2 linked regions of the Rhinolophus ferrumequinum genome follow. The main gene of each other region encodes a partner of the protein of the gene in region 2 in a complex. Links are inferred from orthologs where the notes say so. Each region holds a gene or a part of one and is shown on either strand. Other genes may lie near its edges. The genes, in order: antileukoproteinase and ELANE.

Region 1 (15,760 bases), on a different chromosome or scaffold from region 2:
AGCTCCTTTGTGGGGAGCTTTGCAAATTACGGGCAGTTTAGGAAAATGTTTCTCTTTCTCTGAACAGATTTAGGCTATGCATTATCTGAGAACTGTTCATCCTTCAGGGCCTGTGTGCCATAGGAATAAGTCTGCCTGTCTATCACCCGATCCAAGTGATACTCACTGGACATTTGGAAAAATAAAGATGATTATCTGCAAGTCACAGCAGATGGAGTGCTCAAAAGGACGAATTCTGTTATGTCAATGCCCACTCTGGATTATTTTGGGAAACTTGGAACGCCAAAGACCTCACTAGACCACCCTGCTACACCCTTCTCTCACCTCCAACAAGGGTTATTCCCCAGACTCAGAGAAATGTGTTGCCAGGGGCATGAGCCCGTGTCACCTTGTAGGGGAAGGAGCCTGAGTCCTGGAAGGAGATAAACGCCTGGGTTATACATAGAACACACACTGAAAAGGCGATGGCAGGTTTTTTTTCTGTTGATTGCTACTTATCTAATTTTTGACAATGATCACTCGAAAAAAAAATTAAGCTCTTACCAATGAATTAAAAAATATTTAGAGTCCAGAAATAACACTGGATTCCCCAATTCTTTTTTTAAGACTCTTTTTTTTTTTAAAGAGCAGAGTTATGTTCACAGCAAAATTAAGAGGAAAATACAGAGATTCCCCACGTACCCCTCACCCCCACGCATGAATAGTCGATCCCACTAGCAACACCCCGCACCAGAGTGGTGAATATTCCATTGTCTGGATGTACCATCATTTATTTATTCATTCACCTGCTGAAGGACATCTTGGTTCCTTCCAAGTTTTGGTAATTATGAATAAAGCTGCTATCCATATCTGTGTGCAGTTTTTTGTGTGGCTGTAAGTTTTCAACTCCGTTGGGTAAATACAAAGGAGTGTGACTGCTGAATTGTAGAGTAGGAGTATGTTTAGCTTTGTAAGAAACTGCCATATTGTCTTCCCAAGCGGTTGTACCAGTTTGTATTCCCACGAGGAAATAATGAGGGTTCCTGTTGCTCCACATCTTTTTTAGCCTTTGCTGTCGTCACGGTTCTGCATTTTGGCCACTCTCATAGGTGTGTAGTGGTGTCTCACTGATCTTTTTATTTGCATTTCCCTGATGACATGTGATGGGGAGCGTTTTTTCACATGCTTATTTACCATCCGTACAGTTTCTTTGCTGAGGTCTCTGTGAAAGTCTTTAGACCATTTTTTTTTTTTAACCCGGGTGGTTTGTTTTCTTACTGTTGAGTTGAGGTTGTAAATTTTGGACAACAGTCCTTTATCAGATGTGTCTTTTGCAAATAGTTTCTCCCACTCTGTGGCTTGTCTTATTCTCTTGACCTTGCCTTTCACAGAGTAGTTTTCAGTTTTAATGAATTTTTGGGTAATGATGACTTATTCTAATAAGGTTCCCCGGGGGACAGTCTCAGAGGCAGATGTTTATGTGCAGAGGTTTTCTGGGGAGTAGTCTGAGGAGTAATGTGAAAGGTACATGTGAAAGGTAAAAGCAGCATGGCTGGAAGAGGGAGAAGTGGAATTGTGATGCAGTTGCCACAAAGTCTCAGCCAACTTCATGGGGAGCGCGGGAGTGAGGAGGGACCGTCAGTGTCCCTAACTGAACAAGGGAGCCTTTGAATCCCTACATCAACTAGTCAGTGGATACAGATTGCCCTGGGAACGAGGTGTAACCTTGGATGAAGCAGCTTACTTCGGCCTGGGCAACTCCCAGGGAGGGACTGAGCTGTGAGTGTCAGCAGCCAACGCTCCCGGCACCTGCAGGCATGAGTACCTCAGCCCTAAAGGGGGATCTGGACAGCACATCACGGCACCCACTCTATAATCTGAAAAAAATAAACGTGAAAAGAAAGAGAAAGAGCGTGGGGCTTGGAGATAAAGGGTACTCAGCTCCGCCACTGACTTACTGAATGATCTCGGACAGCTCTTCTCTTGGGGCCTCAGTTCTCCATCTGTACGTTAAGAGGGTGTTACAGGACAGACTACCTTTGACATTCTAGTTGCGGCTAATTGGGACACCCATAAGTCACAATAGCCGGGTAAGCAGGTGCCCTGGAAGCTGACCGCACAACTACAAAGGATGGGCTGGGGTGGGGTCACAAGGCTGAGGAGAACCTGGAATTACAGGGAGTTCATAGAACTCGATGGGGTGGCCCCTCCTACCGGGGCTTTCCCTCAAAATGCTTCTGAGACTCATTAGTTTGTATAAAAGCAGAACAAAGTGGGACTTTAAAGGGCAGATGGATCATCCATTCATTATACAAATGAGGAGTCAAAGAACTTGTCCAACGTCACAGACTGAGTCAGCAGCAGAATTAGGAATCAACCTCGGTTATTCAAACGTGGCCAAGTGATTTCTCAATATCCATGTTTCCCGTACCTTGAGTCAAGGTTTGTTTTGGTTGGAAGACAGAGATACCCCCTCAAGCTAACTTCTCTGAAAGGAGAACCTCTTTGAAAAGAGTCAGACTAGAAAGCAGTGATTTGAGCACAGCACGCGGCAGTGGCTGTAAGACAGGTTTAAAATGTATCCAGAGTATTGGAGGGGCAGACGCCCTCTTAGCACAGTAAGGTCAGAATTAAGGGACCCATGGAATAAAACCATACTCTTTCATGTAGAACTTGGGAGTCTTTCAGGGAAAAATTAACCTTGTGTTTCAAATATTTGATTTTAGATAAGCTGAGAGTAAGCTTGAGCTAGAGTGGAAGACAAAAACCACTCTTACTCCTGCCAAAAAAGATGGGTTTCTCCTTCCCCTCTTCTCAGCCGTCACCGATCCATCACACTGAATCAACAGACAGTGAAGATTGACGTCACCCTCCTCCACCAAACACTGAAAGCATGTGCAAGAGAAAATTGCTTAACATTAGTGGACCTGGAGAGTGAAAACAATCTATTCATACGTGATATTCTTGTAGTGAAGTTTCTGGTTCTTCTCCTTTCATTTCCCACCTCCATCCCCACCCAAACATGGATTAGATTCAAACACTTCCATGTGGGATCCATGATGAAATGAGGCATCACACAGAACTCAAAGACAGGAAACGAAATGAAGCCATACAGTGGACTGACACTGGGCTCCAAACAGTGATCAGGACTGGATTATTCATGTCATAAACAAATTCCAAACAGTGGTGGCTTAACACAACACGAATTTATTTCTTGCTCACGTCATAGTCCCAGGCAAGTGGGGAGGAGAGGCCGTGATCCACAAAGAAACTCAGGATCCCAGGCTCCTTCCAGCTACACCGCCTTCCAGGTCCTTGGTCCAGAATTGGAACACATCAGTCCCACTCACTTCATTGACCAGAACTCAGTCATATAGCTGCACTCAACTGGAAAGGAAGATGGAAAATTCAATCTAGCTGTGTGCCCAGGAAAAAGCGGAGACTGTGAATATTGGTGGACACTAGGGTTAGTTATCTTTAGGTCTCTCTCTCTTGCTGTAGAGTCTTCTTTGCTTCAAACCCAGTTTATTCTTTTTCTCTACATTCCAGATTTATGCTTTCTTAGCTCCAACAGCCTGAGCCACCGGGCCAGCCCAACCAGTCCCCTTTTCAATCCTTTTTCTCTACAGGAAGCCATCATCTCACATTTGGTGTGTATCCGTTGGTGTATACTCATAAACAACTTGCTATTTTGTGTGATTCTTAAACATATAAAAATACTTCATACTAATCTTTATATCAGTGATATGATTTCCCCAACAAACTGTTTTTGTGATATGTCTCCATGTGGACTCATGCAAATTTATTTTAATTTTTCTATAGCATATCAAGGTATGAAACTTTAACCGTTTCACAAATGAGTGACATTTAGGTTGGTTTCAGTTTCTGATTCTTTGGAACAATCTTGTAATAAAGATCCCAATATGTGTATTAGGCTCTCATTGGCAAATGTTTAGTGTTGCCTATATTTCTGGAAGGAAAAGTCCTAAATGATAGCTTATGTGCATTTTCAGTTTTATTAGGCATAAACAATCATTCTTCTAAGTGGCTGTCCCAATTATATGCACATCAGCACACTTTTGAGTCTCTGAGAGTTTATATTATAGACTTTTTTTAAAAAAAGATTTTATTGGGGAAGGGGAACAGGACTTTAGTGGGGAACAGTGTGTACTTCTGGGACTTTTTCCAAGTCAAGTTGTTGTCCTTTCAATATTAGTTATGGAGGGCACAGTTCAACTCCAGGTCCAGTTGCTGTTGTTAGTTGCAGAGGGCACAGCCCACCATCCCTTGTAGGAATTGAACTGACAAACTTATGGTTGAGAGCATGTGCTCCAACCATCTGAGCCATCCGGGAGCTCAGCGGCAGCTCAGCTCAAGGTGCCGTGTTCAATCTTAGTTGCATGGGGTGGAGCCCACCATCCCTTGTGGGAGTCGAGGAGTCGAACCAGCAACCTTGTGGTTGAGAGCCCACCGGCCCATGTGGGAATCGAACCGGCAGCCTTTGGCATTAGGAGCACAGAGCTCCAACTGTCTGAGCCACTGGGCTGGCCCTATATTATAGACTTTTAATTCTTACCATTCTGATGGATGAAAAATGGTGTTTCTGGTTGTTTTAATTGGCTATTCCTGATAACTAGTGAGGTTGAAGCTCTTCTATGTGATGTTAACCATCTATTATAATAATACCTCTTTTTTGATTGCTTATCTATTCATTTTCCTTTTTTTCTAAGAGCTTGATTTTCTTCCTGATTTGTAGAAATCCTTCACATGTTTTTCATTCTGTTTCTTTGTCTGTTATAATGATCCCCAAATATTTACTTCAAAGCTAGTATTTATCTTTTAACTCTTTTGTGTTTATAATTTTTTATGTTGATGTAGTCAAATTTTCGGCCATTTTCTTAATGTTTTTGTGCCTCGCTTGAAAAAGCCTTTTTACCCGAGATAAGTCTAGCACTTATTGTCTACTGTATGACAATCACGGGGCTATTCATTTCACGTTATCACCTCTAGTTCTCATGACAACGGAATTGGCATTGCTGGTACCGTTCCCATCTTATAGTTGACAAAACTGCAGCTCAGGGGGTCACAAGCACTTGCCCAACATTATAGGGCCAGTAAACTACAGATGCAGGACTTAAACCCATATCTGCTTGACTCCAAACTCTCTTCTTTCCACTTCACAGGTTGTGGGTGAAACCCTGTGCATGCGGATATTTCGTTCTTCATCTCACCCGTCATACTGTAGACCAGACTCAATGAGTCAAGGAAGATAGAAGTGTAGAGAAAACTTTGTACATTTATTTGTTCATTAATCAACAGACAGTTCCTTTTGTGTGCCAAGCCTCATGTTGGATGCTGGGCGTACGTTGATAAAACAGGTCCAAACTTAGACCTCAAGAAAGTATTGGTTACAAAGCTACATCTTCATCAAGGTACTCTCATTTTCTCCAGGCTTCAGGGGTGGGGGTGCGGCAGGAATCCCCAGACCGCAGATACCAGGAAATCATAATGGTTTTGAACTGATAAAAATAAATTTGTGGAAAGAAAATAAAACAGAGCCTCAGCACAGGAACAATCCAAGTAAGTGCCCCTTACATCTTTCCCCTTCTGCCATCACGCCCGAAATCCCTTGGGATAAAGAGAGTGCAAGAGAACACGGTGCTGGAATAGTTGAAACAGTACTGGTCTTTCATCTAGGAATCTAGAACAAATTCAGGCTTTTCACTGACTCTCTGCTTTAGTCTTCCCTCTGGTAAAATCAGAGCATCGGGCCTCCAAATCTGTGCATCATACTAGGGTTTCCTGTGGGTCCAGATAACCCAACCAAATGAGGCCACAACCATAGCAATACTCAATGCACATAGGACTTCAATCTTAAAAAGTACTTTTACAGGTAGTATCTCAGTGGATATTAGGTTGGTGCAAAAATAATTGCGGTTTTTAATGGAAAAAACTGCAATTACTTTTGTACCAACTAATATAATTGTGTCCATTTTACAGATTAGGAAACAAAAGTTATGGAAGATACAGTCAGTTGCTCATAGTCACACAGTTAGTCAGAGGCAGAGATGATATTAAAAGATAGAACTTGTGCAGCCTTGTGACACGGCTCCTTCCTCCTAGTTCATTCCAAGAATCCTTCCCTCCCAGGACCCAGCACTACCAATCACAAGTGAGCCTGGAGACTTCTTGTTTGGAGAACAGGGGGTGAATACTGTTGAAGGGCAGAGGATCTGCTTGGTGGTGCGGGCTGCAGGGAGACGCTAAGCGTCCCCCTTTACCTGGAAGAGCACACGGAGTTTGAGGCTGTATTAGGATGGGGGGAATGTGGACTTGCCAGATCTTCTCCTTACCTCACACTGGTTTGACACATGAGTTTCCACACATCCCCTTGCAGCACTTGAAACCGTTCAGGCAGTGGCTGTCATTCAGGCAGTCGTCTTTGGGGCTGAGCATCTTACACTGGCCAATGACTACTGGACAATTCTCAGGGTTGACCGCAACTGGTGAGAAGAAAGCCACTACTCAGAGGCTTGATCCCCTAGACACCATCCAAGCTCCCTTCCCCATCTCTATCCCATGCATGGAAATCAGGTCCTCCCCTACCTCCGTACCCAAACAGAGTCAAGCGCATGTCTTGAAGAAGATTCCTTCCCACTGAGGAGGCTCCCAGCAGTGTTGTAAATGTCTGAAGGACAGATTGACTCATTGACTGACTGACTGCTGTCAATGAGTTGACTCATGGACTGGCCAATGGCTACTGGCTTACCTACTGACCAACTGAAAACCTGAGAATGCTGAGCTGGGAATGGACGAGGCCTGATTCTGCCCCATTATCCAGCCTAGTTCAGAGAAGCCCCCTCCACTTCTCCAAGATGCGTGTCCTCACGTTCAAATTTCCCTGGTCCCCCTTTCCAGGACTCTACTTCCTCACCTGGCTTTGATGGGTCTACAGGATCCAAGCATTTGATGCCACAAAGGTCAGGACAACATTTCTGCTTCTCTGGACACTGCCAGTCACTGTGGCACTGAGGGGGTTCATAGACAAGGCACATCGCCGGGGATATGAAGGGGCAGGCTCCATATTTAGATTTTTCTGAAGGGTAAGAACAAAGGAAGGAGAAAGATTTGATTCTGAGTCATGACCATAATCCTGGACAAGGAACCAGCTTCTCAGGAGGGGAGAGAAAACCTAACCCAGGTGGCTGACCCCAAAAGAAGGGAAGGAGCAGTTAGGATTCCAGTTTTAAGGCAGGTGTGGGGCAGTGGCAAGCTCAGCCAAGCTCTCAACCAAGAGCGTGTCAATGGCCCAGGGAAGAAGACACAGATGGTGGTGTGCTGGTAAATGTTTTAAGAGGGAGATTTTGTAGTGTTCGCCAATTTCCATGGTGTAAATACTCCCTTCACAATTGATTTCAAGCTACCAATGTGATGTCAACTAGCCCACAAAAGTCTTGAAAATTTACCAGTCAGCTATTGCAAGCCAGTATGAGCCAGTTCCAGGACCCAGCTGCATAGAGCTCACGGTTAGGTGTTCCCGGCCCAGGTAGAGGGAGAGATACACCCTGGCTGGGAGGAACACAGAGAGGGGCAGTGATAGCAGGAGAGACAACTCATCAGAGATTGAAAGAAAGAGAGCAGATCAACTGATAAGTAAATAGAGAAAGAGAAAGTGACCATCAAAAAAGAGCTAGTAAGAGAAAAAGAGAACAAGTTGGAAAATTACACAGATGGAGACGAAAAGAATGTGACAGAGAAAACGACCAAACAGTAGAGAAGGCACCGTAGAGAAAGAAACAGTATGACAAGTACTGAGGTCAACAGGTCCATTTGGTGAAAGGTGGGTTTCCAGGAGCTCAGAAACTCTCTTGGTTGAAGTCCTCGGAGAGATGCTTGAAATTACGGGCCATAGGCTGGACCACTGGAAATATGGCTTCCAGGTCACCTGGGCTAAAAGGAAGAGGCCATGCCGAGAACCTGGATGGCCTGAGACTGACTCACCTTTGCTAGCCCCTTCCACAGACCTCAACGTCAGGATTCCAAGGGACAGGAGCACCACAAAGGGGACCAGGCTGCTGGGCTTCATAGTGAGAGCAGGTAGGGCTGAGGTGGCCAGGGCCCGCCTTTGCCCTTATACCTCTCCCTGTGGGTGTGGCCCAACCAGAATGGTCTTGGCTCTCCCAGCTGCTATTTCATAAGCAGGAAACTCAGGCAAAGACAGTGACCTTGCCATGTAGAGTGTTGGTGGCTCTTTTCTGCTCTAGGCAAGAGCCTGGGGCCCAGGAAGGAAAATATAGAACTTGGAGGGGGACATGTCACCAGAATGGCCAGGAGCCATTCACAAACACTTTAGAGAACCCTGAACCACCTGCCTTTGGGGTGAGAGGGGGAGGGGAAAAAGGGAGATTAAAGGGCCGAACGGAGGGACATAATGGAGCTTCTCAGAAACCTGGAACAATCAGTGAGGTGTGACCCTTCAATGAACCTTGACTTTCCCACACTCCCGGACTCTTAGGGATTACCCAAAGTCCCTCCCTTCTGTAAGCGTCAGCTGACACATTCACTCACTTTCTCCTGGCTTGTTCTGATATAATACCTGTAGTTCCAGGCACTCTGCGGGTCACAAAGGGGTTTCTCAAAGAATCCTCGTTGAATAACAGGTGCAGTGGGGACAGCAATGAAAATCTCTTTGGGCCTAAGTCTTCCCAGCTGGGAAGTGGGGATAATAACAACTGACTAGGTCACCGAGAAGGATTTGAGATAAGCAGGGGAAAGGACATTGAGGACAGTGGACACACTACCCCATGGCATTGTGATTGGAAGGGAAACTGATGTGAAGCAAATCACATTGGAACCAATTTTTCTGAGATAAACTAATAAGACTCTTTTCAGCAATGAGTTGAACAGCCAGGTAGAAAAAGAGCACCACTTAACAGGCTCAAAAATTTCTCCCACATCCCCAAATTAGTCCACTGCTCTCTCATGATTATAATGAAGGTTTTCATTTACTGATTATTAACTGCGTGCAAGCCTATTATGGTGAAATAAAGAAAAAAAAAGCATGGGATTCAGAAAACAGAATGTAGGGGAGAAAAGAAGTGACAACCCCCTTCCCCTGTGATGCTGGTGACAAAATCCCAAAGTGACAGCTGAGTACCAGAAATCCAGGGCCACCAGCCCAGACTGAAGCAGGTCAGAGGGGTCTCGGAAATACATCTTCTAGAAAGTGAAATTAATAGATGCATATGAATACAGGCAGAGGAAATTTTGGCAACTGGAGGAGAATTTGTGGTTGAATAGGTGATAGCTATATAGAAAACCAAGCAAAGGTAAAACTCAACAATTTTTCACTTCAGAGAGAATAAAAAAGTTGTGCCAGAAAAGAAAAACAGTATCGTTTACTACACAGTTCAGCTGTGACAAGTGTTTACATAGTCATGATAAAGTAAACAATAGTACAGATCTAATCAAATTTATTGCATAACGTTGATGGGAGGGAGGAGGATGGAAGGGTGGGCCTATGGGCTAGAAGTGTTGAGAGGGAAGAGGTAGATGAAAATCTCGTTTGCAATTGTGGACAGTCAATAGATTATATCTAAAACGGAAAAGTCAAGATGTGACGTTACACAAATACTACTTAGAGACAGGGAGGTAAGTGCCAACATAATAAACTAAACGTGGTTTCTTTTCCTCTGGAGGTGAGAGTGGTGGTGATGGTGGTGATAAGCAACTGCTGTTTTGCACCACCACCTTTGTAAAACTGTGACTCTGCAGTCTATCTGTATGTATAACTCTGATTAAAATAAAGGAAGATGTTTTTGAAAGAAAGCCTATTATCTCACCTAGCTCACCATAAAGATGTACCATCACTCAGGTAAAGCACCATGCATCCAAGCGTAAGCATTCTTCTTCTTTTTTTCTAAATTAAAGTTTATTGGGGTGACAATTGTTAGTGAAGTTACATAGGTTCCAGGTGTACAGTTCTGTAATATATCTGTAATCCTCTATATGTCACATTGTGTGTTCACCACCCAGAGTCAGTTCTCCTTCCATCACCATATGTTGGATCCCTTTTACCCTCATCTACCACCCCCAACCTTCTCGTAACCACCAAATTATTGTCTGTGTCTATGAGTTTCTGTTTCTTCATTTGTTTGTCCTGTTCCTTTGTTGTTTCCAGTTTTATATACCACATATCAGTGAAATCATAGGCTTCTTGACTTTTTCTGCCTGACTTATTTCGCTTAGCATTGTAATCTCATGATCCATCCAGGTTGTCGCAAATGGCACTATTTCATCTTTTCTTAAGGCAGCATAGTATTCCATTGTGTATATGTACCACATCTTCTTCCTTTGTACATAGTGTCTCTCTCTCTCTCTCTCTCTCTCTCTCTCTCTCTCTCTCTCTCTCTCTCTCTCTCTCTCTCTCTCTCTCTCTTTCCCCGCGACTTGGGAGCCCCTCCTCTACTCCCCATCTTGCCCTGCACTTACCACTTTCTTGATGATTATCACTGAGGATAAGTCCAGTTTATGGGGATGATTCTCCATGAGATGATAAGGTCCTAAAGAAGAGGGACTGTGTCTGTCTGGTTAATTGTAAAATTCACCCTATTCAGTGTGCAGAGTTTTGTGACAAAGGCTTATAGCCGTGAAACCACCACCACAATCAAGAGAGAGAACAGTTCATGACCCCACAAAATCCTCTTGCACCCTTTGTAGTCAATCCCTTCCTCTACTCCCAGCTCTTGGCAACTACTGGTGGGTTTTCTATCCCTATAGTTTTGCCTTTTTGAGGCTGTCATATAGATGGAATCAAACAGTATGTAGCCTTTTGAGTATGTCCTCTTTCACTTAGTGTAATGTATTTAAGATTCATCTGTGTTGTTGGTCGTTTGTTCCTTTACAATGCTGAATCCTGTTACATTGCATGGACAGGTCATGGTTTGTTTATGCATCTCCCTGATGAAAGATATTTGGGTTGCTCCCATCTTTTGGTGATTATGAATGAAACTGCTCTAAGCATTCACGTACAGGTTTCTGTGTAGATATGGTTTACATTTCTCTTGGGTCATATCTAGGAGTAGGATTGATAGGTAGTATGGTAAGTGTATGTTAACTTTAGAATAAATTGCTAAATTATTTCCAGAGTGTCTTATCATTTTCTAGTCCCACCAGTGGTATGTGAGAGATCTCATTTCATTGAAATTTTATTGTTATTTCCCTAAAGACTAATGAGGAAGTGATTATTTTCATGTGCTTGTTTGCCATCTGTATGTCTTCTTTGGTGAAGGATCTGTTCAAATCTTTTACCCATTTTTATTGGGTTGTTTGTTTTCTTCTTGTTGAGTTTTGAGGGTTTTTTATATGTTCTACATCCAAGTACTTTATCAGATATGTATTTTGCCAATGTTTTCTCCCAATTGGTGGCCTACCTTTCATTTCTTAATACTGTTTTTCAAAGAGTAGCAGTTTTTAAATTTGATAAAATCCCAATTTAAAAATGAATGAAGTCATCAATTTTTTCTTCATTATGTTTTGTGGTGTTGTGTCTGGGAAATCTTTGCATAGCCTGAAGTCACAAAGATTTTCTCTTTATGCCTTCTTTTAGGGCTGCTTCTCCAAGCTTCTGCAGGCCATCTCTTTCCCAGGGCCCAGATCAGAGAGGTCAGGCCTAGAAGTGCTGCTGCAGGCCATCCTCTGAGGTTCTGTGCGTGGAGGATTGTGGGAGATAGTATTGAAGGGCTGGAGGTTCTGCTGAGGGTTACACATGAGGCAGCCCCCCGTCAATGAAGACAGTTTCTACGGATTTGGGCCACACTGGGGGAGGCTGATGGCAGGTGGGTCACAGAACTGAGCCTAGCCTTTCTTCTGCTCTTCCTTAGGGACAATGCACCACTTCCTATACTTGCCCTTGTAACACTTAAGGCTGTGTCAGCTTTGAGCATCATTTTTGCAATAGTTTGGAGGGTTGAGCATCATACGAGTGCCTTCTACCACCGAACACTCCCCATCTTTCATCTGAACTGGAGACAGCAGGTCCAGAGCTTGGGACCCTCTTCTGTTTGGGACCACAGCCCAGCCTTATCCTGCTGCATAGAAGCCAACCTTTTCCTGCTCTCAGTCCCCAAATGGAGGCCTAAGCCTCTCATGAAGGAAGGCCTGATGGACTGACTGTGGCTTACCTACAGTCAGGCTGCCAGGGGTTCCACTAACTGATCAAGTAACCAGTAAGATTGACAAAGTTGGCAGTGGCAGAGATCCAGCTAGGCCTTATCCCCAACCAGATTCAGAAGGAGACCTACCTACACTCCCAAACTCTCCATCCTTGGAGAGTCTCAGTCTTTGCCCCTTGCTTGCAGATAGGACCCTCTCACCCAGGTTCAGAACATTTACCGGATTCCTACACTTCATGCAACACACAGTAGGGCAGCATGTCCTCTCTGAGCACTGCCGGTCATTCTGGCAGTAAGAGCTGGTCGACCTGGCACCACTAAAGGGTGACAGGAGGGCAGGCTCCAGCTTTCTCTTCTGAACACAGACAACATGGACAAGAAGGGAGGTGGATTTGACAAGTGCACGAGAGGCCATCTTCCCAGGAGGTGAAAGGAGTCCCCCAGATACCAAGAGGAAGGCTGTGGGGGAGCAGTCATAACCCCGATGTAGACGAGGGGAGCGTGCTAAGGACAGCCTGATAAGCGGGCGATGAAAAGTCTGTGACAAGCGGGCTTGTGATGTCTGTGTAGGGTCACATTCAGGTGAATGTCCCAGGGCAAGATAAAGACACACAGAACAAAGAATGACAGAAAGAGAGGAGAGAATAAAGACAAGCCTATGAAAACATTACGACAAAAACTGAGAGTTAGCGACGGGACACAGAGAAAGAGAGAGATTAAAATGAACCAGAAATTAAAAGAAAGCCAGATAGACACAGAGGGAATGAGATGAAGAAGAAAAGAACAAAGTCAATGTCAAGAATGAGAATGAGACGAAGTATAACAGAGAGGTAGAGTGAATATGGCAGACAGAGGTGTTTTAGTCAAAGGCTAATTGCAGGTGGTCCAGACACACTCCCTCACAGAGAACTTGGCCCCTATTTGTCAGGATCCCCTTTCCTGGAAGGCTCAGTGGAAGGACTTGTTGAGCTCTGGCCCTAGGAAAGGAAGAGGTGCTCACCCCCAAGCTCGCCAGGAATCCTTCCATCTCTGGCCCATTCTGAGACGTGGGACTTTAATTCAAGCACTGTCGTTGAAGTGGTAATTAGATTCCATTAGAAATATTAAAAAGAGTGAAGTCCCCAATTTATCACTTGCAACTATGTAAATTATGATGAAAATTATTGAATGTCAACTTGAAACTTTCTAAAGAATACACACTTTTTCAAAAATTTGTTTAAGATGCATGTGTCAAAGAAAAACACATCTTTTGAAACCCACACTCCATGACCTGAAATCCCTAATCAAGACAGATTCACATAGCAGACAGCGAGAAGATGCAAGGCTAAATAATACTTTATTATTAGGTAGATTAGGGACTCAACTCCTAAACAAGGAATCAAGGGAGCTAAGCTGGGCAACAGACAAGAGTTCCTTTTCTTGGTTTATAATGGCCTACATTTTAGACCCTAATGTAGCCTAGCACTAAGGCCTGTCCTTCTCCTTGTCCAACCCAAAGTCCCAAATCTCGTCCTAGATATATTACTCCAACAAGTGGAGAAACTACCAGTGGTAGCACCAGAGAAAACGTAGCAAACAGGCTTGCTCCTCCATTTCAGGATAACGTGTACACATTTCATGGGGTCCAAACACAGAAGATACGACTCAAAATGCCCCAGGGTCCAAGGTCACGGTTTGGAATCTGACCAACAGAGACTGTGAGTGTCAGAAGACACTGAACGAGAGAAACACATCAGAAAAACAGGAGCTCAGGAACTGATCAAAACTAAATGGGAAACAGTACCTCCATCCTCTTTTACAAACCTTAAAAGATCTCCCTCAAAAGCTGAAGACAGAGAAAGGGGTATGGATGGGTGGGGGAGGGGTCCAGCAGCCATAGATCTTCATGTACAGTAATTTTTAATATTTAACACTTTATTTTTATATTAATCAGCCTTCAACTTTTTTTTTTTTAATTAGTTTCAGGGGAAGCATTAAACTCTTGATAAAAGGAAGTCTTGAGGAGAACAAGAAAGACCTGGAGATCAGTTATCCGTCTGACCTGTGCTACCAGTGTCTTCTCAGGCCTGGTTAAGAAGGGGTTTCTCCCTGGGGAGAGAAGAGAGAATCAGAGCTATGGGACGGTGCAAACCTGCAGGGGGCAGGGACTGGGTCGCGAGACCACTGTGGTCGGCATCCCACTAGCTATTCTCCTCCCAAGAGCCCTGAGATGTGCTGCCAAGGAATCAGGCACTGGGGATCAGCCATCCTAAAGAATTAAAATCTTATAATCCTTTACCTCACAATTTCAATGGGAAGAGGAAAAGGATTCATTATGAGAAGCTGGAAGAAAAAACAATGGCAATTGAAAATAGTCATAATGAAAATTCAGTAATACTTATCCAAATGTCCCCATCACTCACAGCAGAAGAGTGAGGCCCATTACATGAAATAAAGTGTGGGGTCTGATAAGAGGTCTGATGCCCTCCCACCCCCAACTCTCACCCTCCGTCTTTACTGTCCTTGAGGCAAATGTCAGGGCAGAGCCCCATTTAAAAGCTCGGATCTCAATGATTTCCAAGGGCACTGGCAGTTCTCAACTCCCTGTGGGACTCCTGGTTCTCCCGGAACATTTCTGGGACAAAGCTGAGAACGGCCGATGTGGGGTTTCTCACCTCAATCCAAACTCGACCACGGCTCCACACACTGACGTTTACAATTGTAGAAACAACACTTCTTGGCCCCTTTGCAACCTCTATCGCGCCGGCACAGAGGTAAAAGGATGAAAGGGCAGGAAAGTAAGAACTCTGGGCAGTATCCAGGTTTACCTACATCTGAGGAAAAAGGCCACAGGGTGATTGGGGCACCTGTGGGTCGTCGCTGGGCATCAGTGCCAGCTTGTCCCGTGGACTCCTCCGAGGGAACGTTCCCCACCCCAACAACACACAGGACCGCCACAGCCTACACGCACTTTTCTGGGATCCAGACTGCGCCATGTAGAGGCAGATGAGGAGGAAGCCCACGGTGAGGCCAGACGAACTGCTCAGCTTCATAATCCACGAAAAGCGTGTGGGTGAACGACGAGGCGGGCTTTTTATAGTGTCTATGGCAGGGGCCCACCAGCAGGGGGAGCTGTAGTTTCCATGGTCCAAGGTCAGAGGTGCCTTAATTTGACCTTTCCTATCAGCTGTTTCCTTTCACCCCCGCCCCCTCCCCCAGAAGAGGAGCTGTAATAACCTCTGGGGCCCTAACTTCTGAAAGCCCACAACTGCTCCCCCTCTTTTTTAGGGAGTGTCAAGGCTGGCCTGGCCCCTAATAATTCTTTATGCAGTGGAGTTTGAGGCAATGGGAGGGAATTGTCTCTCACAGGGCATTCCTCAGTTCTAAAAGTACTCCAGCCTCTCACTATGTTTCCAGAACAATTTAAACCCTACCCCTCCCAACAGATGTCAGAAATGGGTACATTGGAAGAGTGTATTTCGAATAAACGAACTTTTGAAACACACAGGCACCAAGATAATGAGCTATCACCAAGATAATTTCCAGATTTATGGAAAATATCAATATATTGTGAGCTGCAGAGATACAAGTTTAAGTTGTGTGATGAAGGTTCTCTGCTTTAACTCCTG
Region 2 (16,600 bases):
GAGACAACCTACTGAATGAGAGTAGATATGGCAAATGAAAATAAGGGATTAATATGGAAAATATGTAAACAACTCATGTAACTCAACATAAAAAAATCCAATAAAAAAAATGGGCAGAGGACCTGAATAGACATTTCTTCAAAGATGACACACAGATGGCCGATAGACACATAAAAAGATGCTCAATGTCACTAATCATGAGGGAAACGCAAATTAAAACCACAAGGAGGTACCACCTCACTCCTGTCAGAATGGCCATCATCAATAAATCAACAAACAACAAGTGTTGGCGAGGAAGTGGAGAAAAGGGAACCCCAGTGCACTGCTGGTAGGATTGCAGATTGTGCAGCCGCTATGGAAAACAGTATGGAGGTTCCTCAAAAAATTAAAAATAGAACTGCATTAGACCCAGCAATTCCATTCCTGGGTAATTACCTGAAGAAATCCAAAACACTAATTCAAAAAGATACATGCAGCCCTATGTTCATTGCAGCATAATTAGTAATAGCCAAGATGTGGAAGTGATATCAGTGTCCAGTGATAGACGAATGGATTAAAAAGGTCATATATATATTATATATAATATATATGTATATATATAATATATATGTGTATATATATATATATATATATAGAGAGAGAGAGAGAGAGAGAGAGAGAGAGAGAGAAAGCCAAAAAAAGTATACACATTTTAAGAAAGGAAAAAACTGTATTAAAATTGTAATACACAATATATACCGATAACAAAAGATGAATACAAGTCATGTTTGACTTCTGCAATTACAAGAGGTGCTCGAAGTGGTTACCATCCGTGTAATTTTAATAGTTTTTTCCTTTCTTAAAATTGTATGCATTTGTTTTGTTGGAGCTCTCTCCTCTCTCTCTGTCTCTCTCTCTCTCTCTCTATATATATATATATATATACACACACACACATATATAGTGAAATATTATTCAATCATAAGAAAAGAACAAAATCTTGCCATTTGTGGCAACATGGATGGACCTAGATGGTATTATGCTGAGTGAAGTAAGTCAGATAAAGATAAATACCATATGACCTCACTTATACGTATGTGGAATCTAAAGAACAAAATATTAGGTTGGTGTAAACGTAATTGCGGTTTTTGCAATTATTTTTAACCTTTTAAACTGCAATTACGTTTGCACCAACCTAATAAATGAACAAACAAAATAGAAACAAAAAATAAAGTCTGACGGGATGCAGAAGTGGGTGACTTTATTGCTTCCTGGTGACTCCAGGCCCTCAGGTCCTCCTCAGGCGGCCTCAGCCCCAGCCATCACACCATCGATCCAGGCCGCGTAGCTCGCCACGCGCGTGTATATGCCCGGCTTCTTGGGGTTGCCGCACACGCGGGATCCGGAGGTGACTACGCCCTCGGCGACGCCCCCGCATACCAGCGGGCCTCCGGAGTCGCCCTGCATGGGACAGGGCCGTGAGGGCTGGTGCACCTCCGCAGGCCCTCCTGTTCTCCTGTGTTCACCTGGAGCTCCGCCACTGCAGTTCCTGTTCCTCCCCCTGGCCTCAACCTGCCCTCTCTCGCATCAATCTGCCCAGGCCCTGCCCACCACTGCAGGCCCCACCCACCAAGGCCCCGCCTTCCCAGCTCTCAGCTCGGCCCCTTCGATTGGCCCCGCCCTCCATGCAGCCCCGCCCTTCTGCTGGCTCCGCCCCACTCCGCACCTTGCAGGTGTCCCGGCGGTTGCTCTCTGCGCACATCATGCGCTCCGTGATGGTGCCGTCGTGATACCTGCGCAGGTTGCAGGTGTCTCGGTCCATCACCCGCAGGGTCAGGTACTGCAGGCGGTCGGGCTGGCGGCCCGTGTGGCTAACCACGCCCCAGCCGGCCACGTCGCAGAGCGTGCGAGCGGCCACGTCGCGGTCCTCTCGCTGCCAGGGCAGGGGCTGCACAGCTGGGCCCAGCTCTGCCTTCTCAGAAAGCTGCAGGTGGGAGGAGATGGGCGTCAGGGCTGGGGTCCGGGGGGCATGTAGCAGGAGGGACTACCGCTGGACTCGGTGGGACCTGGTGGGGGGAGGCGGGCGCCAGGTCTGGGGTCTGGGGGTGTTGGATGCAGCAGGAGGAACTGCCGCTAGACTTGGCCGACCTGCAGCAGGAGCAGGTCATGGTCGATGGTGTCGTGCCGGCTGTCCGGGTGGGGCACTGCGCGGAGTACGTCGTACAGGCGCTTAAAGGGTTCCCTCTGCGACAGCGAGTGCGCGCCCAGGAGCACCTGCACCTTCCCGTCGGCCCTGGGAGTGGGGTAGAGTCCACGTCAGAGCAAGGTCCGCACTCCAACCCCTCCCCCACTCTATAGCCCCGCACCCTCGTCCAGGCCACTCACACGTCCTCCAGGCAATGCGCTGCGCTCAATACCCACTGCTCGGCCACCAGGAAGCCGCCGCACACGTGTTTGCCATTCACCTGCACCGAGGCCATGTAAGGCCGTTGGTGGGAGTTGGCCTCTCTGCCGCCCAGGATTCGGCCGCGGGGCTGCGCCGCTGGGGATGGGCAACAAGCGCGTGAGGACGTAGGGGATGCCTGCAGCCCAGCCCACAGACGCCGTTTCCACACCCCAGGCCGCTCTACCCGCCTCAGACCTGGAATTCCATCCCTGGATCCCCACACCCCAGCGTCGCAAGCTCAGATGCCTGGGGGCCTGGGAAGGATAGGGAATGCCAGGGTCTGGGGCACATTCCGTCACACACAATGAGCAGCACGGGTTCTATTTAAACCTAAGAAAAGTCCCAAGAAAAGTGGAGCTGACAGGACCAACACTCCTGCTGGCCTGTTCGGCCCGCCGGCCGCCAGTTTCCACTGTAGAACTGCGCATTTCAGATCCAAGTTTTGAGAATTCCTGGACTTTCAGAGTCTTCCATTCACAAGGACACTGACCCCTTCTGCCCACCGAGAGGGGCTGGGAGACAGTCCTGTGTGACAGAGGGGGTCCCTGGCTGACTGCTCTGTAGGCGGGTGGCCCCTAGCTGGTCCACTCCAGTTACAGGTTCACTCACCGCATAGAGCTGCTCCTAGGAGGATCAGAGCCGCCAGGTGCACTGAGAGGTTTGCCATGATGCTGCTGTTACCGCCACACTGATTCAGGCGGGGTCCTGGGACACTCTTATGAGGGTGGAGGGGGTGGTGGCTGCCACAGGCCCTGTCTGCTGGGTGGGCAGTCACCCAGCTAGGAAAGAAAAGCCCGCCCCCGCCGGCCCGCTTCACTCTCCTCTGGGTGGGGTTCTCTCCTGCTGTACTTTGCACCACAAGGGGTGCCTCCTGCCTCCGTGCACCTGGCCCAGGGTTGGCTCTGGTGTGGTGAGCAGCCCAGGGTTGGCTCTGGTGTGGTGAGCAGCCCCTTAGGGTGGGCAGAAGCAGGGCGAAGGGACAACCCACACCCACGCCCCCAGAGCACCCCTCCAGCCCCAGGTTTCGAAACAGCAGCTGGAGGCCACGGTTTATAAACAACCCACTTCCTCATTTTTTTGCTCCTCCCTTTTCTCTCTTCCTTTTCCAGCTTGGAGGGGGTAGGAGGAAGGTCACCCCACACCCTTGTCCCATTGCTGCAGCTCTGGAGCCTGATACCCCAACAAGCAGGACATTAGAAAGGTGGTGTGTAGGGGCAAGTGGAAAGACTGTGCCTTCAACAAGGAAATTTAAATGGAAAGTTCAGTGTCTGCCTTTAGGTGTGGCTTGATCCAGGTGCCTTGAACAATGTCAGGCCGCTGTCTCTGGTTTCTCCTTCCTCCTTGATGGCTTTTCTCCTAACCAGGCTCCAGCGTTGTGGCCTCAGAGGCCCCAGACTCAGCCCAGTGGCTCAGTGCCCCCCCTCCGCAATTCCCCATCACTCCAGCCAGTGTCTCCAGGCTGTCTCTGATTGGCTGAGTTTGGATCACATGCCCCCTCCCAAACCAGTCACTGCAGGCAGGGGATGGCAGGTTCTGATGAGCAGAACTCGGGTCACATGACCCTCTCTGTAAGGTGGGGATGGGGGATCAACATCTCATGTACCTATTGGGGGGGGGTGATGGGACCAGAAGGGGGGGATGGACCTCATATGACCCCAGTGGGAACAGTACACAATACTTTCCCCTTTTTTTTTCCTTCCTCACAGCGGATTATTTCATACATACAGAAAAAATTAGAAAATAACATGTGATCTGTTAGATCCTAACATATTTCCTTATTAAAATCAGTTCTGAACAAATGCCCATGAGGATATGAGGTCCAAATTATGTGAGTAAGAGTGTTTAAAATTGCAACAAAATTTGGAAACCACCCTGGAAGATGGGGCGGTTCAATAAATAACCCTGATGGTCCCCAGATGTCATGTGGATGTGGAAAGACTGCCTGCGTATAGTATTGAGTGGAAAAAGCAATTGCATGGCAGATGGTCACATTTCTGAGCAGCTGTTCCTTGGAGAGGTGGGATAAGGGGACACCCTGCGGGAAGAGCAGTCAGGCAGAGGGGACAGCCAAAGCAAAGGCCCTGAGGGGGACCTAGGCTTCTGAGCTCCAGCGGGAAGGTATTGGGGGCCAGGGGACAGAGAGGGGAGAGGAGATTCATCCCAAACTCATGGCGTGTGTGGGGGACAGCATTACCTGATGGTATTTCTCTATTTGCTTGCTTAAGTGATTGTTTCTTCCCCCACTGTCAGACTGTGAGCTGCGTGATGGCAGAGGCCATATCTGTTGTGGTCCCTGCCTGTGGCCCCAGGAAGGTAGAAGAGGGGTACAGGCTGGTCCCCTCTTTCAGGGCTGCAACTTCCATCTGGTCTGGGGGATGCCTTGGAAATCATCTGCTCTGCCCTTCCCCCTTTGGCAGAGTAAAATGCTGGGGAGGTGAAGGAGGGCTCGTCTGTGTCACCCAATGAGACCCCAACCCCCCTTACCATACAGCACCTCACTCCTCCCCGCAGGGAAACGGAGGCTCAGAGACAGTGAGCAAGTTGCCCAAAGTTAGAGCTTGGACTCAAAGCCAGGCTCCCGAACAGGGCTTCACCTCTCTTGCTCTGTAAAACAGGGCACTGACGGGACCGGCCACAAGGGCTGGAGCCTCAGAGGGCTGGATGAGCGAACACTTGCAAAGACTGAGAATGATTCCTGCACCTGGTAAGCACTCAACGAACACCTGCTACAGTGCTTTGTGTCATCACCACGTGCAATGCTAATTTAATCACACAAAACCCGGTTTTACATGAGGGAAACCAGAAATGGCAACTGGCATTCTTTGTGGAGGGTGGAGAAGGAACTTACTCCAATGCTCATACTCGTGAGATTCCCAAGATGCTCTCATGACTGCTTTCAACGCCCAATTACACAACCAACACCAAGACACAGTCTACAAAACAGAGGGTTTTTATTGTGCCAGATGCTGCATAACGGAGCGTGGGAAGGCCCCAGCCAGGGGCAGGTGAGGTGGGGTGACAGGGCCAGCCCCTTCTAGCGGATCCTGCTTGCAGGGTCCCTGGGGTGGAGATGGGGCTGGTCACCGGGGCTGCGAATGATGGAGTTGATCCAGTCGGCAAACTGCGCGACGGGGGCAAAGGCGTCTGGGTACAAGCCGGAGCCACAGCTTCCCCGGATGAAGGAGTCAATCCCATGGATCAGCCCGTTGCAGACAAGAGGCCCACCGGAGTCCCCCTGTGTGTGGAGCCAGACTAGGTGGGGAGGCTGGGCTTCCGGGGCTCCCCACCCACTGCCCTTCAGAGTTGGGAAGTCTTTCCCAGGGTCTGGCTGCAGTTCCACTTGCTGCAGTCTGGGCAGGAGTGAGGGTGGAGTGGTGAGGGGATGCGGGTACTTACGAAGCAGATGCCTGCCCGCCGGCGAGGCACCATTGTGCACACATTTGTGGGGCGGCAGAGGGATGTTACCACGGTCACGTTGAGCTCCTGCAGGACTCTGGGTGGTGGCCGGTTGGTGCCCAACCGGCCCCAGCCCATGGCTAGGCACTGCACCCCATTGCCCACGCCTTGGTCCTGATCGGGCAGCTGGGCCACCTGCACATTGGCATTGATGGTGGCTGACCCATTGAGCTGTAGTGGGCAGGGCAGAGGACAGGAGAGTCACACAGGGAGGTGGGCACCGGCCCTCCCCTTTCTGGGCCTCAATTTCCCCACATAAGGTCCCACCATGGTTCTGGGATTTTACGGAGTAGGCTGCCCACCCAGTGAGATGCTCCCCACCCTCAGTCTCAGTTTTCCCATCTCTGAAATAGGAACAACAACAGTGGCTCAGGGCGTCCCTGGATGTGTATTGAGAGGAGTAAACATACATACTCAATATAACAAGCTATGGGCAACACCAATGACAACGAAACCGTATTCTAAAACATTCCAGAGAATAATCATAACTCTGCCAGCAGTGGGGAAGGGAGGGTTTCTCCCTCCAGTTTCCCTTCAGCCCAGATGTGGGGAATTTTGCCATTTCACAAAGGCAGGAACAGTCCCTGGGCACAGGGCCATCAAACACAAATAATCATAACATTTTGTTGATTGACAACTAGATCTCTCTGTGTCTAGATCTCTCTGTGTCTTCTCGTTCACTCTCTCAACAGCTTTGCCAGGAGGGGCTTGTTTCCCCAGGTTACATGAGTGGAAACTGAGGCACAGAGACGAACTATCAAGTTAGAGCCGCATGTGACCTCCAGTGTTTCCGCTCTGTCTCTGCCCTTTCCAAGCCTTTGGCCCTGGGCCTTTGCACCTGCCGGTCCCCTGCCTGGGCATCACTTCCCACCCCACTGGCCTTGCACCTTCAGAATCACGATGTCGTTCAGCAGCCTCTCGGGGTCGAAGCCATTTTCAAAGACTTGCTGGATGGCAAACGACTGTTGGGTGGGCTCACGCTGCCCCAGGTTGTGTGCCCCCAGCACCGCCCGCACCCTCTGGAAGTTTCTATAGGCAAAATGGGTGCAGGAGGTGATTCGAGGTGGCCCCAGGCGTTGGGGGTAGCTGAGAGACTCCAGAGCTCAGCCAAGCCCGGCTCTACACCCAGGGGTAGCATCGCCACCCTGGGCAGATGCTTGGGCTCATTGGCTGAACGCCCCCACTTGGGCCTGGTAGGGGAGATGCGTTCATGGGGGACCCCTGGAGGAGCCTGGGCCCTGGTCTCACTCTCCCCCTTTGACAGATGTGGAAACAGAGGGTCTGAGAAGGGAAGACACACGGGGTGGCGAGGGCAGGGAAGGCGATCACTCACATGCCGTTCACACAGTGCGCGGCCGACATGACAAAGTTCGGGGCCACCAGGGTGCCACCGCAGAAGTGGCCTCCTTGCCGCTGCAGAGACACCATGAAGGGCCATGCGTGGGGCTGGGCCTGCCGACCACCCACGATCTCAGAGGCTAGCGCGGGACCTGGGGATACGTGGAGGCGGGGGTAGTGAGTGCCACGCAGGAGCCCCACCTGCTGAGCCAGTCAGCCCTTGAACTCTCACCAGGAACCCACAGATCAGGGCTCTTCATGTGCCAGATGAGGAAACTGAGGCACAGAGAGATAGGGGGCCTCCTACTGCCCCCTGCCAGGGCACAGCTAGATCTGGATTTAATTTGGCTTTGCAGTCCCCAGAGCATGCCCAGTGATGCCCCAGTTCAAACTCTGGGCTCTTCACCACTCTGGACCTCGGTCTCTTTCTCTGGAAACAGGTCTCCCCATCCCAGCCATCACCTCCCCATGAGGGTGAAGAGGCCACGCAGGTTTAGGGCACAGTGGAGAGGCAGGAATGGAGGCCGAGAGAGAGATGGACAGACATGTGGCCCCACTCACCGCCCAGCAGCATGGTCAGCAGGATGGAGGTGAAGGTAGGACCGGACGGTCTGCAGCTTTGGGTCATGGTCGGGCGGGGGCTTTGATGTCTGTGCACCCCCGTGCCCACCGGGCCTTCTTATGGCTTGATGCCTGGGACCGTTGCATTGCCCCACTTCCTTTCCCCACCTCCAGGACAAGGGCGATGATGGGAAGACAGTGGGGGTGGGGGGAGGGGGCGGCGTGAGGGGCCTGGGTTGGCTCCAGATAAAATTCAGGACACACAATTAAATTTGAAATCAGATAAACAATGTTTTTTAGTGTGTGTCCCAAATATTATACTTATTTAGGAACTTAGTCATTGTTTACCTAGCATTCAAGTTTAACTGGATGTCTTATATTTTTGCTAAATCTGGCAAGCCTAGGCCCAAAGGGCGTTGGCTGGTTTCCCCACTTGCCTTAGTTTACCCAGGGCACAGGGGTGATGGAGGACTGCTGGGTCCCACTTGAGAAGAGGAAACTGAGGCACAGCGAGGTGTTCCCCCATGAGTTCCTACACAGTGACACGGTGGGTAAGCTAGGCTTGAACCCAGGCCCCACAGTTTCCAGCTGGAGGGTGATTTGCTCCACCTTCCTCTTGGGGCTTGGCCTGCCAACCTCTCTTTGATTGTTGCCCACAACAGGGACTCCCTCCCACCCAGGGCCACATCAGTCTCTGGCTGCCAACAGACGTTCTGGGAAAGAACCCCTTCTCTCTGAGTTTTGCTGAACTCCCTTCCCTCCTGAAGTTGGAGAGCTTCTGCTGGGCCAGTGGAAGAATTCAATCCGAACAACAAGGCCCAACCCCCACCCCATGGCCTGGTTCCTCTTCCCACCTCCCCCAGGATGCTCCAGCTGCAACGGCCATAGCCAAGGCTGTCGCAAGAAGCAACGTTCTCCTGGCCCGGAGCAGGGTTCAGGGGAGGGAAACAACGGATCCATCGGCAGGAAGAGGCAGGCGGGAGCACCAGGGGTGCCCGGAACCAGAGCTGGAATCCTGTTCGTCCCTGGGTCGACCCCGATGCATGGCCACGAGCAAACAAACTCCCTTCTCTCTCAAGTAAGGATGACAGCACTGCGCTCCCAGACCCTGGCGCACAGCAAGCACTCCATGTCTGCCCTTCATTCCTCCCGTATCAACCAGTCCTACCCCGCTCCCTGCTTGGCAGGGCTCCCACCCAATTGCATTAAAGTTATCATAGAGCACTGAGTAAGCACCTGCTGGATACACAGTCCTGTTTCCAGTCCTGGAATGGGGGAGAGTGGAGGAAGCCATGTCTTTGGGGGAAGAGTGGCTCAGGCAGAAAGACCCCATTTAACCAAAGCTGCATTTATCGATCACCACCTGTATACTATGTTCCCACATCTCATGGTGGTCAAGCTTATATCCTGGTGTGGCCACTTGCCCACTACATAACTTCAGGCCACTGACTTAACTCTTCTGTGCCTCAGTTTCCTTTTCTGTAAAAGGAAAGTTATAATAATAGGCTCCATCACATAGGCTGTCCCAAGGATTAAATGAATGAACATTTGTAAAGATTTTGGATAAGAAAGTGATATCCTGGAGGGTTTGTTAGCCATTAACCACCTCCAGGAGGGCAGGATGGTGATTGTCTGGTGGGTATAGGCTAGGATGCGAACACTGGGCTTCTAATTTGCAATCAGAGTAGTGGCGACACTGGCGACACCCTTATAATGAGTCATGGAGCTTACAAGTAAGACGCGCGCATTTTTAGGTCTCAGTTACAGCCCAGTAAGAAAACAATGATTTGAGTGCCTTTCCCCACTGCTGGAGGCCTGGGGATCCCTGAGCTATAGGAAGCAACCCCGTACAGCTGTGGTCACCAGCAGCAGAGACTACCCCCACACCCTCCCCTCAAGGAATCCCTTTCACCCTGAGGCCTTCCAAGTGTGTGCTGATCATCCTGCTTGTTATTCCCATGGGCTTCTTTCAACAGCTCAGCTAACCTCTGGCAAATCCACCCAACACCTCCCTAAACCCCACCAATTCCCACTATTGGGTCTGGTCTCTGCTGTGTAGGGCTTCCCTGGGTCATCTTTCACACACATCAGCCCCAGAGAACCCTCCTGGCGGTGTTTTTGTTGGTCTTTCTGTTTCCAGCATTCCCTCTAGCAAAACTCTTCTACCCCCAACACTGTGGGCTTTTTATAGAAACCGCTTCCCCGCCTTGGGCCCCTGGGAGATGCAGGGAATTCCCAGCAGGGAATTCCCCTGACACTCATTAGCTTATATTTCCCAGGATTCATCCAGGTCCCCTGTCTCCGCACACATTTTCTCCTGGTGCTGCTGGTGTAAACCAGTCATAGCACCTACACTGGGGTGGTAACTGAGGTATAAAAGAGTTGCAGAACTGGGCAGGCCTGGGAATTCTCGTTCTTGCTTGTATTTTGTACGCTGCCACCAGGTGGTGGCAGAGTAAATCAATAACGAAAGATCCGCCTTCCAATTCCAGTGTGTCCCATGAGCAGTTTGGCCCCTCTCTCTGAGCCTCATTCCCATGGCCATTTGCCCACTGGCCAATGACCTCTACCGCTCCCTGCCTCAGGCCTCTCCTCTAGGCTTACCCCAGTTCATATCTGTGGTCTGGCATCCTCTATTCCCACCACCTCTCTGAACTCTCCTCCCCCACCACCTTGCCTTGCTCCATTCCAGCTGCAGTGCAGCCTTGCAGTCCCTCTGCCCTCGCTATGCCCCTGTCTGGGGGCCCTTCCCCTCCTGTTCCTGTTTGTGCATTGGCAGTCACCTCAGTCATTGCCGCCTCCTCCAGGAAGCCTCCCTAATGGCTGCTCTGCCTGCCTCTGACCGGGGAGGAGCCCCACAGGCCCCAGGCATTCTCTGTTACCACAGCCTGGTCTTCCAGCAGCCTCACCACACACCCCCAGCTGGAGACACAGAGCTGGAAATGACACCCCCCAGCCTTGAGGGTCAGGGTGAAGCTCCGTGGACAGTTCTGGGAAATGTCTGGGGTGACTCCCTTTTCCAGACAATGAAACTGGGCCACAGAGATGGACAGCAGCTTGCACAGGGCCATAGCAGCGGGGTTGGATTAGATCCCATGTCTGTGGGCATGGGAGGGTGGGGAGAATGCACTGTGACCTGAGCCCTCCACGGACCTCCAGGCCTTGGCTCCAAATCCCCATCCCGAGTCTGGGGTCTGGGGACTCACATGCTGGGGACACTCTCCCACATTCGCGACAGACACGAGCCAGAGGGGGGTTTCAAGTTTTATTGATGTCACCATGGGCTGAGCACCGGCCCCCTCCCTGTCCTGTTAGGGCTTGCTGTCTGGCCTCAGCCCTGGGGCATCAGTCTGGAAGGGGAGGCTCGGGGGCTGTCCTCGGCCCCCTGCGCTTCTCAACACGGATTGAATCCAGTCCACGTAGAGGGACACTCGAGCGAAGAAGTCGGGGTACTGGCGGGTAGCGCACTCCCGGATCAAGAAGGAGTCCACGGCCTGGATGACGCTGTCGCAGATCAAGGGGCCGCCTGAGTCCCCCTGTGAAGTGTGGGGACAGGTCACTCAGTCACCCAGGACTTGGCTACGTCAGGGAAAGGGTGGCTGAAGACGACCTAACGCCATTTACGGGTAAAATGTTTCCAGTCCAAAATTTTCTTTAGGACACGTGGACGAGAGAGGGAGATGAGGCCACTCTGGAAGACAGCAGGCGTTTCTTCCAGAGTGGCCTCATCTGTATACCTGGATCCCTGGATTGAGACTAGGCTAGTCACCCACACCTCCCCAGGTCTGAGAGGGCCCCAGGAAGGGACAGTCCCCAGACCTATGAGGGCCACCAGGTATGACCTGAGCGGCCCCCTCTGTGCCTGTGGGAGCTGAGGCTGTTCCATGGATCATCCTCTGAACCCTCACAATGGGTGTACCCTCCTTCCAGATGGGGAGACTGAGGCCCAGCCTGCAGCTGCTCAGTGAAGAGGAAGTGGATTCGAACTGCAGCCTACCACCCACCCTCCTTCCCCTGGGTGGCCGCTGGAGCCTCCTCTGCTCCAGGGCAGCTCCAGCCTCTAGGGAGGTCCCTCAAGCCATCCAAACGCGGTGTGGGGCACTGGGAGCTGAGCGGATACATACGAAGCAGATGCCAGCTTTGCGACGGGGAACAAAGGTGCACACATTATGTGGCCGGCACAGGAAGGTGACCACGGTGACATTGAGCTCCTGCAGGACGTGGGGCAACGGCGCACGGGTGCCCAGCCTGCCCCAGCCCATGGCCAGGCACTGAGTGCCGTGGGGCAGCTGCTGGTCCTGCTGGGGGAGCTGGGCCACCGCAACCTGGGCGTTGAGGTTGGCCGGGCGGTCCAGCTGGGGCAGGGAGAGAGTGGGTGGGCAGTGAGACCCTGTCTACAGGCCCCATAGCCACCCCCTCCTCACATCCAGCCATGTCCTGACCACCCCAAAGTGCCTCCTCTGGGCTTTTGCACATGCTGTTCCCTCCACCTGCCCCCTTCTCACTCACTCTCAGGTTCTACCTTGGAGGTCACCTCTTCCAGGGAGCCTACCCTGATTGACCTTCCAAACTCTGCCAGAGCTGTTTTACAGTCTCTGACACTGCGGGCCTCCCCTTGTAGCATTTGTCACTATGGCATGCATTCACTTACAAAGCAATTATTGAGTGCCAACTGTATGCTCCATCCTCTCCTAAACCCTGGGGATCCTACCTCCAAGAGGATGACAAACATATAGTCAAGGGAAATGATGACATGGTGAACCATAAATCAGGGCTGTCGTTCCTGCTAGGGTGAGGGGAGCCCTTGCTAAGAAGGTGAGGTTGGCACCTAGGCTGGGAACTACTGTCTGAATGGCTCTCTCCCTGCCAGGCCTGCTGTGTATCAGGCCATGTACCAGCTGATGAAGGATCAGCCAGCCCACCCACCTGCAGGAGGAGAATGTCGTTGAGCTTCTGCTCAGGGTCGTAGTTGTTGCCAAACTGGCGAGCGATGGAGAACCTCTGCTGGCTGGGCTCAGCATTCTGCAGGTTGTGGGCCCCGAGCACCACCTCCACCAGGGCGGGGGGCCTGCAGGGTCAGGGCACTCATGCCTCGGCCCCCACGTCCTCCACTCCCCACCCCAAAGAGCACCCTTAGGCCCAGGGTGCAGCCCCCTTGGTGACAGACCCAGGCAGGGCCGCCTCCCCCCTCACTTACATGTTCTGCAAGCAGTGGGCCGCGGTCAGCACAAACCTCGGATGGATCAAGGTGCCCCCACAGAAGTGGTTTCCTGCCACCTGCAGTGATGCTATGTAGGGTCGTGAGTGGGGCTCCGCTTCCCGGCCACCCACGATCTCTGCGGCCTGTGCTGCCCCTGAGGATATGGGCGTCGCAGCTGTCACTTTTCCCGGCTGGGCCCATCCCCACCCACCTCCCTGGGAGGGAAGCACTGTCCATTTTGCAGATGGAGAAACTGAGTCAAATGTCCCAGAGCTCCACCTTGCTCCCTTCTCCCTCCCCTTGAGGCCTTCATCCCAAGCAGTGAGTGGGTCCTGGCCTGCTCCTGCCTCAGTCTCCCTGTCTGCGCCGTGAGGGCGTTGGGCTGGCCGTCGTGGGTGGAATCAGCAAAGCCTGGCTTGTTGGACTGAGGAGCATGTGGCCCCACTCACGGGCCAACAGCATGGCCAGCAGGACCAGGGCCAGAGCAGCGCCGGAGAGTCTGTCGCTTTGGGTCATGCTTGGGTGCAGGCTCTGGGATTCCCCGGCCTGCCCATCCCTCTTATAGCCCAATGTTCAGAGGCCGTTGGGGTTGCCCCACGCCTGGGCTGGGCATCCCCACTTCCTCCTTCCAACTTTGGGGCCACAGGGAGCTGGTGGTTGAACAACACTCCAGGAGGACGTGGAGAGTTAAGCTCAGGGCCCTGACTCCCCTGTGAGTGTGGGAAGCCCACCCCATTCCGGGATCCCCTGGACAAAGGGCAGCATAACAGCCCTCAGTGGGGCACACATTCCACCCTCCATACCTCCCCCCATGGGATCCCTTGGCCCCAGCAAAGCGGGATATGGCTGGCGTGTCCAGGCGCTAGAGTGAGCCCCACTCATGGGGACTGGAAAAGCGACGGGAAGAGCAGTGGGAGCCACAGAGGCGTGTGACCACCTGAGACCCAAAAGAATTCACTGTTCCCTCTAAGGCAGAGTTCTCGCCCAGGTGACTGTGCTCCCAGGGGACACTGGGCCTTGTTTAGGGACATCTGTGGTTGTCAGGACCGGAGGAGCTCCTGGCATTGAGTGAGTGGGGCCAGGGATTCTGCTCAACCCCCCACCATGCCCAGGATTGGGGGGGGGGGCAGACAACCGCCCTGTCCCAGTGTTCACGAGGCTGAGGAGAAGAGATCTTAGTTAATTATTTGGGAAAAACTTGAGTTCATTCCCTGCTCACAGTAAATACCAGAATAAACCCCAATAGCCACACGGTATAAACCAGGGTGGCCCCAGTACTTCCTCCCTCCTCCCACTCGGGCTGTGTACTAAATGTGAGCAGCCTCCTAGGACCTCAGAGTCAAGTGGGTATGGAGTGTAGTCTCTTGGATCAGCAGAACCTCTGACCCATGGGTTAAAGGAGGGAGGCGCTGACACTCTCCACAATGGACCCTGAACACACGGTGCTCACGAGAGAAGCCGGACACACAAGGCCACACAGTGTGTGATTCCACTTATGGGAAACGTCCAGAACAGGCGCGTCCACAGACAGGACGTGGGTTAGTGGTTTCGGGGGATGGTAGCGGGGATGAGGCTTCCTTTTTGGGGTGAGGGAATGTTCTGGAACTAGATAGAGATAGTGGTTACATAACACTATGAATGCACCAAATGCCACTGAATTGTTAAACGGGCAAGTCACATGGCTTATAAAGTATGTTTCAATAAAGCTTTAACCAAAAAAAGAAAAAGAAACACACACACACAAACCCTGCTAGATGATGCACCCATGAAGGGGGAGCCTCCCTGCAAAGTCTTGGGGTCATTCACCGGCAGGGAGATGGTCCAGGGTCCCCCTGACCAAGTGCTCTGCTCCAGGTGTGCATCACACCGAGGCCTGGGGGCAGGCAGGTGAGTACAGGATGGGGGCTGCCTGCAGGCAGAGGGAATAGGGGATGTGAAGGCTCCTGGCTGGGGCAGGAGTGGGGCGTGGGGAGGGGGAGGCGTGACTGTAACGGCAAGGAAGCCTCTGGGGCCTCAGGGGGTAGGACTGGCGGGTGGAGGGGAAGCTGTAGCCTTCCCACTCCAAGTGTTGGTGGTGTAATTAGCAACGGGGCCACAGGGGCGGGAATGTGGGTCCATGGGGTCACTAGGACTCAGGCGAGGAGGGAAAGAGAGCAAGCGGGGCCCAGTCTGTGTCTGTCTCTTTTTCGTCTCTTCTCCTTAAAAAAGAAAAATACTCTTTTCTTGAGTGTGTCAATGTGGGTGACTCCAAGCTGGAGGACCACACGCTCTTGGACCCCAACCCCCTCAGGCCTCAGTTTCCCCATCTGAACAATGAGTAGGCAGTGACTTGATCTGTCTAAACTCCAGCTAGAACCCCTGCACCGATCTGGGCTCCTGCACTGCCACTGACATTCCTCTCTGGGCCTCGGTCTCCCCATCTGTGAAATGGGTTAATGGCAACGCAACTAACCTTAGTGGTGGGTCAGTCTGGGCAAACACTGGGGGCTCCTGGTGTCAGTGGGCTGCATTGGGGGCACTGGCACTCAGGGCAGAGGACTGCAGAGCCCCACAGACCCCGACACCACGCAGCTCGGGGCAGAGCTCTGGCCCCCTTTGTACGGGTCGCAGGTTCAAGGTGTTAATGGGTCATGGCGCACACGCTATCTACAAGCCTTGCAAACCAGGCAATTCGTGGCCCAGTCCATGATACAGGGGTTGCCTCTTGCAACTCAGATCAGCAACATTAAGGCTCAGCTATAATGCAGCGCTCCCTCCAGCACAAAGAGGTGTACTGCTCTTCTTTAACTTATTGTTAGCTTTTAAGCTTGATTTCTGCCCCCACATAATCCAAGCATCTAAAAGACATGTAAAAAAGACTGGAAAGTCTTGTTGCAGCTCCACCCCCTCCGCCACCAAGTAAACTAACTGGGTGTCCTGGGCTTCTGGGTGCTCTGATCTGTAAAAGAAAGTGTAACACACACACACACACACACACACACTGTTTGTCTCCACTGTCCCGTGAAGACCCCTTGGGTCAGTGAACAAGGAGCCTCCACCCTTTAGACAGCTGCATAATGAACCAGACTTTGAGCATTCTGTGTCTCCTCCTGGGGACACTGGATTGTTTTCAGTCTCTTTTCCTTCTAGCCATGTGGTAGGATCTATCCTTGTACACTTGTCCTCCACACAGTACAGGGTGACAGATGGGGTCAACCCCAAGGTGGCGCTGCTGGCTCAGAGGCCCCACATCGGTCTTTACCAGGAGGGCACCCCAGTGACGTGCCCGCCCCCAGGCAGATGCCCACAGTGTTCTCAAACTGCAGGATTTTTGCACATCCCACAGGTTGAAAAATAAAATGGTGTCTTCACAGAGGTCTGCTCACATTTCTCATATAATCAATGAAGGTAAAGTTGTTTCTGTGTCTTCAAGGTTCTTTTTTTTTCTTTGCTGTAAACCATCTGTTTACATCCTTTACCCATTTTTATACTACTGGGTTGCTGTTTTTTTCTTATTGAGTACAAGTGGTCATTATATATTAGACTTATTACAATTGTATTTTATTATGCATTATTAACTATATGCATTTTAAATATATATAAGTATGTAATGTAGTGATGTATAATAAATAATGATATAT

The links.
Region 1: the proteins of ELANE (region 2) and antileukoproteinase are in contact, whole or in part, in a crystal structure (PDB 2Z7F), measured with the Homo sapiens proteins. The link is inferred for Rhinolophus ferrumequinum from reciprocal best matches to the Homo sapiens genes ELANE and SLPI. Residues at the interface, in NP_001963.1 of Homo sapiens: His53, Phe54, Cys55, His70, Cys71, Asn74, Val75, Pro111, Val112, Asn113, Leu114, Leu158, Ile165, Leu180, Arg182, Val197, Cys198, Phe199, Gly200, Asp201, Ser202, Ala216, Ser217, Phe218, Val219, Arg220, Gly221; in NP_003055.1 of Homo sapiens: Tyr93, Gly94, Gln95, Cys96, Leu97, Met98, Leu99, Pro102, Phe104, Met121, Cys122.

The regions. Positions count from the first base shown.
Region 1 is NC_046306.1:12,641,747-12,657,506, forward strand, and holds antileukoproteinase, read right to left. Parts: upstream 8,104-15,760; 5' UTR 8,066-8,103; coding exon 7,981-8,065; intron 7,076-7,980; coding exon 6,914-7,075; intron 6,483-6,913; coding exon 6,334-6,482; 3' UTR 5,513-6,333; downstream 1-5,512.
Region 2 is NC_046301.1:62,052,834-62,069,433, forward strand, and holds ELANE (neutrophil elastase), read right to left. Parts: upstream 7,937-16,600; 5' UTR 7,848-7,936; coding exon 7,781-7,847; intron 7,372-7,780; coding exon 7,215-7,371; intron 6,911-7,214; coding exon 6,769-6,910; intron 6,053-6,768; coding exon 5,822-6,052; intron 5,661-5,821; coding exon 5,460-5,660; 3' UTR 5,358-5,459; downstream 1-5,357. Other genes in the region: CFD (complement factor D), read right to left, coding at 1,279-1,440, 1,706-1,963, 2,128-2,272, 2,365-2,521, 3,035-3,092; PRTN3 (myeloblastin), read right to left, coding at 11,092-11,316, 11,905-12,135, 12,707-12,848, 12,978-13,134, 13,430-13,496. UniProt on the Homo sapiens protein: Serine protease that modifies the functions of natural killer cells, monocytes and granulocytes. Inhibits C5a-dependent neutrophil enzyme release and chemotaxis. Promotes cleavage of GSDMB, thereby inhibiting pyroptosis. Promotes blood coagulation.